Drosophila melanogaster: one gene and its partner. The protein of the gene in region 2 purifies or fractionates together with the protein of the main gene of each other region. This does not show direct contact. Each region holds a gene or a part of one and is shown on either strand. Other genes may lie near its edges. The genes, in order: galla-1 and Ciao1.

The links.
Region 1: the proteins of Ciao1 (region 2) and galla-1 purify together in Drosophila melanogaster (affinity purification with western blotting; 2 studies listed by BioGRID, with this or other methods). This does not show direct contact.

The regions. Positions count from the first base shown.
Region 1 is NT_033778.4:20,669,100-20,674,192, reverse strand, and holds galla-1 (galla-1), read right to left. Parts: upstream 2,990-5,093; 5' UTR 2,810-2,989; coding exon 2,515-2,809; intron 2,448-2,514; coding exon 2,335-2,447; intron 2,075-2,334; coding exon 1,924-2,074; intron 1,854-1,923; coding exon 1,756-1,853; 3' UTR 698-1,755; downstream 1-697. Other genes in the region: exu (exuperantia), read left to right, coding at 3,843-3,992, 4,062-4,214, 4,298-5,093. UniProt on the Drosophila melanogaster protein: Component of the crb-galla-Xpd (CGX) complex which is essential for proper mitotic chromosome segregation in early embryos. The CGX complex is also required for cell proliferation in developing wing disks.
Region 2 is NT_033778.4:14,853,363-14,857,241, forward strand, and holds Ciao1 (Ciao1), read right to left. Parts: upstream 1,687-3,879; 5' UTR 1,598-1,686; coding exon 590-1,597; 3' UTR 501-589; downstream 1-500. Other genes in the region: Ercc1, read left to right, coding at 1-193, 252-440; HPS1 (Hermansky-Pudlak syndrome 1), read left to right, coding at 2,150-3,879. UniProt on the Drosophila melanogaster protein: Essential component of the cytosolic iron-sulfur (Fe/S) protein assembly machinery. Required for the maturation of extramitochondrial Fe/S proteins.

The DNA of each region.
Region 1 (5,093 bases), 5.8 Mb from region 2:
ACGATGGCAATCATAATAATGGCATACAATTTAACAGCATTGCGTATCGGAAGGAAATCTCGGTGGCCGCAATCTGTGCCCCTCGTCTTCGGGCCACTGTGACTTGGAGTCGGACTCATTGCATTTGCCTACTTATGTACTCGGGGGTTATGTAACCCGGGGGTTGTGGGAGCAGGGGCGTGGCACTGGGCGGGCACTGCAGGACGGGATTAAATGGGTCACTTTGACCGCTGCACAAATGACAATTGCCGGTCAGCAAATCCTGGGGAATTGCTGCAGTTGTTGGCTCGGCTTAAATGCATATGCATTAACAGAATAAATTATGCATTTTTCGCACATAAAATTCTGTCGCAGTCCAGGCCATCATCTCCCATGACTCCTTCCTGGGCCATTGCCGGTGTGTCAACTGAGTCATTATGGCTGTGTCCCAAGTCTCTGTTCACGTGCTCTTCGGTGGTTATTAAAGGTGTCACTCCAGTAGCTCATATTAAATGGATTCTACTCATTATCTATTCCAAGAATTATGATTATCAACTATTATGTATTAATGTAATCAGTTTAAATATTGGTTTTAAAGTGTTTATTTTATACGGATATCCACATAATATAGATTGATAACAAGTAGCAGACCAGTCTGCCTCCAATTACTGTTCACCTGAAAACCGCGTGGTGGAGCTGGGGGGCACAAGCTTCTCCGATGGCTTCGGTCATGGTCAGGCTGGCGACACGGCTGCTGGAAGGCTGGGAGAAGCTAGTGTCTGCCACTCCTATTCCTTTCGGCCGACGTGTCCAGGCCGAGGTCCGCTTTGATTGCAGTCGCCAATTAGCGTAATATTCGCAATATGCTTTTGTCTGCGCATTCATTTTTATTATTTTTCCCTCGCCTTCTGAGGCACGCGGCACGCCTTAGGGGCACGAAGGGTCTGCTCTGGTCCGGTTTCCATTCCGTGAATATTGGCCAGCGGTGTCATGGCAAAAAGTTCGCAGCGCCAGATGGTTTTAATTGCTGGTGGGGATGTTTTTTGCCTAAGTCTTTGGAAATTAGTTTAAAGCATTTTGAGCGCGATGGCAAGCAACTAATTGATATTGCTTAATATTTATGGCTTGCCACTTTGGTGGGGGGAGCAGTAAGAGCGAAATGAGCGGAAGTGCAGTGCAATTTAACAAATGGAAAACCCCGGAAATGCAAATTGGAGCAGAAACAGCGACAGTCATGGCAACAAAGTGCTCACTGAAACCGGAGAGTTGCAAAGAAATTAGCCGAGTCGAGTTGAGTCGAATGTGTGTCATGCACTCAACTTAACAGCGCCAACGGCAGGTGATTACCCTGCGTTACGCCCCAAACATTCTCTACTCTTCTGAAGCTGATAAATCCGTGTGACGTACACGCCGTCTGGCTGGTGCCCAACATGGCCGGCCCATCGATACGATTGCGATTCAGATTCATTCACCCGCCATGACACCGATGTGCACACGGTTTTCTTGGGCCGAATGTCCGACGGCCATATCGCTTCGGCACAATGTAAACAATGAGAGTTGTTGGGCCCGGGGGACCTTATCAGTAAGCAGCATAGGCGGGAAAATAGATAGGACGTTGAGCAATCGATATTCTGGTGGAATCAAAACGGCCGAGCGATTAACAGATTTTAAGGGCTTTAATGCTAAGCACACACTCCCTGATGCAACTTAATGGTACACTTAATCCTAGACATTCCTCAAAGTATTCCCTATGTACAAAAGATATGGCAAAGAGAGCTACTCCTCATCCTTGATGCAGTTCTCGACCAAATCCCTCAGATTGGGGTTCTCCATGGCCGCAGCGATGCGCTCCTTGTCATTGATTTGCTTGTTAACTGGGGAAACGTAATCATTTTTACTTAGAACACATATGTATGATAATAGTATCTGGTTGGTCCAACTTACTCTCTTCCTCGGTTTGATGCGCTCCCTTCTTGATGTATATGTCTAGCTTTATGTTGTGCGGAAGTCCGCGTTCTACTTTCACGCGTATACAGAGTCCAATAAGCGTGGCCAACGAGCAATGTGGCACTGTGGGGTTAAACTCGATGCGAACCTGAAAGAATTAAGAGACAAATACCATGCATTTCAACTTTTTACTACACAAAAGATTTATGAGGTGTGGATTTAGTATAATACAAGTACTTTAAGCTATGAGATCAATTTTAAAGTCATTTTGAAGCTAAATCGTTAATCCTTTCAAATATTAAGCAACAATAGTGATGAAAGCAAATAAACACACGCGCAGATTTAACTTATGATGAAATGATGATTAGGGCTCAAGCTTATGGCTTATAAAGATATTGAGTAACGTACAACTGAGACATTGGAGCGCGTGGGCGGCATCACAAAGATTCCATCCTCGTAGACAACGTTGAGGTCCTCCAAAGTGCACGGCTTCTCGGGATCGCGAATGCCGCGCAACAGATCTGTGTAACGACAAGAGAAATTACATAACTAGGCCAAAGTGAAAAAGAATGCCATTAAATATCGAACCGTAGATGGTTTCCTGCAGTTCCGTCTGATTCTTGTAGCCCAGTTCATGGAGCAGTGCGTCCTCCCCGAAGGCAATGGCCTCATCATCCATCGACATCTGGCTCGTTTTGCGCACTAACTCGTCGGCGTTCTGGCTGCGTCCGCTGATACTGGCGCTGCTGCTGCCCGTACCGCTTTCACTGCTGCCCGTTCCGCCCGCTCTCCCACTATCGCCGCCGCACGACGACGTCACAGTTGCGACCGAACTGACGCCGCTGTCGGATTCGGAGAGCTTGCGCTTTATGTAGGACAGCATGTTGTGGCACCTGTGCGTGGTGTTATCTCGCCTGGTTTTATCTTTACCGTTGTGTGCTTGGGTGATTACAGCAGCATAATTCGGTCGGCAGGCGATCTATTTGCTTGGTAATTCTTCACTTTTGCGGTGCAAATTGTTGGAAATAAGCGATGGCATCAGCTGATTATTGTTTTTCTGCCGACCAGGGCTGCAGAGTAGGTATAAGTGCTAAGCCGTCTTCGATAAGTCTATCGATAGTGATATCGATACCCTGTCATCTCTGGCGCAACCATTTGAAATTCGTCATCCCTGATCCTCTTATCAGTTCTTGTCTGCGCTTTTGTCCAAATATTTGTTGTTTACCCACCAATTTTGCCGGCTAATAATTGGAAAAAAATTTATTTACAAGCTGAAAGACTATATTTTATTATAGCAGCGGTAAAAATATTCTGCAAAAAGTTTTCACCTGCACAGTGGGCGTTGTGGCAAGATGTGGACGAGTTGCAGCTGTCTAACCCATCGTACTTAAGTCAAAAACCTCGATTAGCAGGCTTTGCATATGTCAAATTCGCGCACTTTTCCTAGGCCGTCGGGTGCATCAGGAAATTATTCATTACGTTTTAGTTAGTCGTACGAATTGTTTCTTATTTGTGAAAGCTCGTCGAACAGAAGCAAATTTCGCTTTAACCTTTTGAAAAATAAAGGAAAAAGTTCGTAAAAAGCGAAAGAGCCCATCGAAACCAACACGAAAAAGGAGTTCAATAAAGGTGAGCCCAAAAGAAAAGTGCTAAAGTGTGGTGAAAGTGAACATACATACATACACATAAAAACATCTGTGTAAAAGATGGCGCCACTGGAAGAAAACCGTTAGTTGTAGCTTTGGGTTTAATAGACTCTTGAAAATTCGTAGCCCGTCACTTCATATCGAAAATCTAGTGAAAGCGGTTCGCGTTTTGCAAAGGAAATCGGTTCCTTAAAAAAAAAAAATTCTAGTGACTCAGCTAATTTCGTTATCCGAATTTTCTAGATTGCTTTTCGCAGATCATATAAGAAAATGGTTGCCGATAACATCGATGCCGGAGTGGCCATTGCCGTCGCCGATCAATCCTCGTCGCCCGTGGGCGATAAAGTTGAGCTGCCGGCCGGTAATTATATCCTGGTGGGCGTGGATATCGACACCACTGGACGTCGTCTAATGGATGAGGTAATACCCCCTGACTGCCGTTAGATCGTTCGTCGTTCGGTCCTAACCCCACTTGCGATAAACCCACAGATTGTCCAGCTGGCCGCTTATACACCCACCGACCACTTCGAGCAGTACATCATGCCATATATGAATCTGAATCCAGCTGCTCGCCAGCGTCATCAAGTTCGTGTTATTTCGATTGGCTTTTATCGTATGCTGAAGTCGATGCAGACTTATAAGGTGAGTCCAGTGCAGTCCAGTCCATTTAATAGTGGCAGTCAAGTATTGAAGCATCCACAATTCAACATACAATATCCTCTCAGATCATTAAATCCAAGTCTGAGATCGCTGCCCTCAAGGACTTCCTCAACTGGCTTGAGCAACTGAAGACCAAGGCGGGTCCCAGCTCGGACGGGATTGTGCTTATCTATCATGAAGAGCGCAAGTTCATTCCCTACATGATCCTGGAGTCGTTGAAGAAGTACGGCCTGTTGGAGCGCTTCACCGCGTCGGTGAAGTCGTTTGCAAACAGCATCAATCTGGCCAAGGCTTCCATTGGCGATGCCAACATAAAGAACTACAGTCTGCGAAAGCTTTCCAAGATCTTGTCCACGACCAAGGAGGAAGACGCGGCTTGCTCTGCGTCCACATCTGGATCTGGATCTGGCTTGGGATCTGGATCTAGTATGGTGTCCGATTCGGTATCGATATCCCCCAGGGACAGTACCGTGACCAATGGTGACGATAAGCAATCTAGCAAGAACGCCGTTCAGGGTAAGCGGGAACTGTTTGATGGCAATGCCAGTGTTCGTGCCAAATTGGCCTTTGATGTGGCCCTTCAGCTGAGCAACTCCGACGGCAAGCCGGAACCAAAAAGCTCGGAGGCATTGGAGAATATGTTTAATGCCATACGTCCGTTTGCCAAGTTGGTGGTGTCCGATGTCCTGGAGCTGGATATCCAGATCGAAAATTTGGAGCGTCAAAACTCCTTCCGTCCGGTGTTCCTGAACTACTTCAAGACCACTCTGTACCATCGTGTGCGTGCCGTAAAGTTCCGCATTGTGCTGGCCGAGAATGGGTTCGATTTGAACACGCTAAGTGCCATCTGGGCAGAGAAAA
Region 2 (3,879 bases):
GGTCCAGGTGGACACACCAGAGCCAAACAATGCCCTCAAGAGCTTGACCAGGATATCACTGTTAGCCGACCTGACAATGATGTTGGCCTGGAACGCTGAGGAGGCGGGCAAAATCATTGAGACGTACAAACAGTTCGAGAAGCGTCCGCCAGATTTGATCATGGAGCGAGTGGAGTCTAATCCACACCAGAAGGTACGCATGTTTACATTGCCAGTATCGCCACTGTAATGCAATATCCCAATGTCCATAGCTACTCGCTGCTCTCACCAACATCAAGCCGGTGAACAAGACTGATGCTGCCGCCTTGCTGCACACCTTTGGCAACCTGGGCAACATAATCAATGCCAGCGAGGAGCGACTCTCCCAGGTGATGGGACTGGGTCCCCGGAAGGCCAAGAAGCTGTACAAAACGTTGCAGGAACCGTTCCTCAGCAAATAGCAATCCATATTAGGTGTAATGCATCCCATAATCGTGTATGACACACTTCATCCATCATTTGAATACTTTAATTTTTTATTACGCAGACACTGTACAAAAATTAAGTTCCAGAATTACCCACTTAAATATATCAAACAATAATCCTTATGTTACTCGGTCACTTTCCAAATTTTAATGGTGCCATCATCGCTGCATGATATCAGTTGCCCGGCCACCACAGGATTCCACTGCACCGAGTTTACGTCCTGATCGTGAGCGCCTTCCTCCGCGGTTATCTGCTCGAACGTGGGTTCGTCTGGCTTGGAGTCGCTGCTCTCCTTAAAGATACGAATGCCGTCGTCGCCACAGGCAGTCGCTATCAGACCTGTAAGCTTGCACCAGGACACGTCGTAGATAGCCCGCGAGTGCTGCCCGGACACTGTGCACACGCACTTCCACACGGTTTGCTGGTCGGGCGTAGCCACTCCGGCTGTATTTCCGGGATGGTAGGCCCTCCAAATCTTTATTGTGGTGTCATCGCTACAGGAAACCAGGCGCTCGCCATCAGCATCGAAGTCAATGCCCCAAACCGTGCTTGTGTGTGAAGTAAGAGTGGCTGTGCAATCCCAGTCGTTGTCTATGGGCTCCTCTGCGAACATTTTTATGGTATTGTCGTACGAGGCGGAGGCCAAAATGTCCTTGGTTGGATGCCACACCACTCTCTTCACGTCCTGTGTGTGCGGGTTCAAAACGGCGGCGCACTCGAACTCATCATCGCCGGCAACCTCCCAGATCCACACGGACTTGTCCCGCGAACAGGTGGCCAGTAGTCCGCCGGATCGCGACCAGCTAACGCTCTTCACCTCGTTTTCGTGACCCTCCAATGTTGCGTTGCATTCGAATTCTCCCGAGGATTTCGACCAGATCGCCGTGGTGGCATCAAAGCTGGCCGAGGCCAAGTACTGACCGCATGGAGACCATCGGATCTCGCGAATAGTGCGCTTGTGGCCATCGGATAGGATGGTCTTTGTGCTCCAAGTGTTCCCGGTCAGCGACCAAATGCGGATGGCTTTGTCCTCGCCGCACGAGGCGAATACGTTGCCCTTAGGATGCCATGCCACTCCCCAGATGCGCCCCTTGTGGCCCTGCAGCGTGTGTTCCAGAATTAAACGTCCCATTGATGGTCAAGTGCTGTATTAGTGGACAAATCACTGTCTGTCCAAATAATGATAACATAAGCGCATGTCGCAAGAAGAAGAAAGTCAGCTGTCGTCAGTGTGGTCAAACGTCGGCAGAAGTCGTTCATCTAGCTTAATTTGTAAATCGGGATAAAATTAAATTTTAAAATTGTGTTCTTCATATCTAAGCAAAGCGATATTGCTTTGCAATAATAAAAAAATGCAATAAATTTGAAAATTCATATATTATAAATTATAAATTAATTTGATCAGGAAACTTATTACAGTTCAATACTTAGTAACTCAACTAAAAGCAATTTCAATTGGCAATTCGGATAAAAAAAGTCGAACGTATACTAGGCTTTTAATATATAATTCTGGCTTGAAAAGCGTTGAATTGCTCAGAGCTGAATCGCTCTAGTGTTGTTAAATGCTGACTTGAAGTCTTCACCTTTTCTTATCAGAACACACACCGAATTCCGTTACCCAGCACCAGTGACACTGGTGAAAGTTTTGTTGTGTATTTGGTGTTTTGCCAATGCTGATAAGAAAATGAACGGACTGATTGTGTTTAACAGCGCCAACGATGTTGTATACCAGAAGCTTAACGAGCCGCTGGCGCAGAAGATCCGGAGTGTGGCCACCACCCAGGGCCTGCTCCAGTCCGGCGGCTCCCTGGACAGCAACATACTGCTGCAGATTTTCAGCCCCATCGTTGGATCTCAGCGAATAATGCAGTGCCAGTTCGATAATGCCTACTCCAGCCTGCAGTGTGAGCAAGGCTTCAATTTGGTGTTCGGCGAACTTCTTGGCTTCACCTTTCTGAAGATCGGACAAATACCCGTGGAGCTGCTGGGTCGCCAAATGGGTGTGGCCATTACGCTGACGCGCTATTGTTACGGCGCCAATTTGTTTGCCGCCCAGGCGGGGGCCATGCAACAGGAGTTGCTGACGCAGTGCCTCGACTGCTATGAGACTTTGTTGTGGGAGGAGGATCAGACGTACCTGCTGGAGGCCATGCCCAGGCTGCTGATCAACACGGAACTAAAGAGGACAGTGCATCTGACGCTGGACGCCACGCTTGAGCACTTGCGCCAGCTCGGACTGCCCCGAGCCCACGCCCTGTTGCTCGTTTCCAACAAGCTGGTGGCCGCGAACAGCACTCGGCAAGCTCTGCCGCTTGCTGCCGCCGACCTACTCTTCCTCAGCCTCATGTCACGCGCCCTGCAAGCGCCAAAGTCCCCTTCCCAGCGAGCAGTAGCTGTATTCCTGCAGGGTGTCTCCTATGATGTGAACTCTGGCTGCGTTCCCAGTATCGTGCACATCTCGCGTCTCCATGGTAACCAAGTTCTCCTGCAGGTCATCGAGTACGCCCACATGCCACTGACCAGCTGCATCTACGATTCCTTCTTTGTGCTTCAAAAAATCGTGGCTGTTCAGCATCAGGGCGATTCGGATGCCCTGAAGCCCGCCTTCGAGAACCTCGAATCGTTTATTGTGCAGGCCTTGACCGCTTTGAAGCGATATCTGAAACAGCGATCGGAAACCGATGACCTAGAGAACTGCACGAAGAAGTTCGCCGCTAAATGGGAGAATCTTCGCAAGATGTACACTGAGTACTTCAAGAACTTTGAGCGGGAGCTGCTCGTGAGGATTGAGTCGAATTTGCCCTCGTTCGGAGAGGAACTGAAGCAGATATTCACACTGGCCTGCTGCGACAGCTCAAGTGTCCATGAGCTGGATCAACTCTCTGATACGGCAGCGAATGTGGAAGCCAAGCTACTGGAGTTCGCTGAATTTCTGGCCGTTAAGGCCACTCGTAACATATCCATTGATGCTTATTTGGAGGATTTTCCGGGTCTGGTGCACTTTATGTACGTCAATCGCAGCCGAGGACAAATGCTTGCTCCGGATCTGCGACCGAACCAGCTGGTGCCAAAGACAAAACTCTGGAGCATGGTGGAGATCGCGAGAAATTACCTTAAGAAGGGCCAGACCACAGTGATGTGGAAGGATAAGGCATTCCATTACTCGTACTTCCTCTGGTTCGAGGACATGTCTGGTGGCGTTCTTAGTACCGTCGTGGATTTGCAGCACCACTTTCTGTCCACAGGAGCAGCCAGTGGCAACGGTTCGAAATCCCCAACAGAACCAGGTGCTCTTACAATGGACTATTACCACGATCTGGCGGAGTTGTGCTTCCCCAAGCTGTCACCGGCCAAAGTGCGCGTCTACGAGTTGTATTGCATTCATCTGGGACTGGTAACCGCCACATGCGCCGT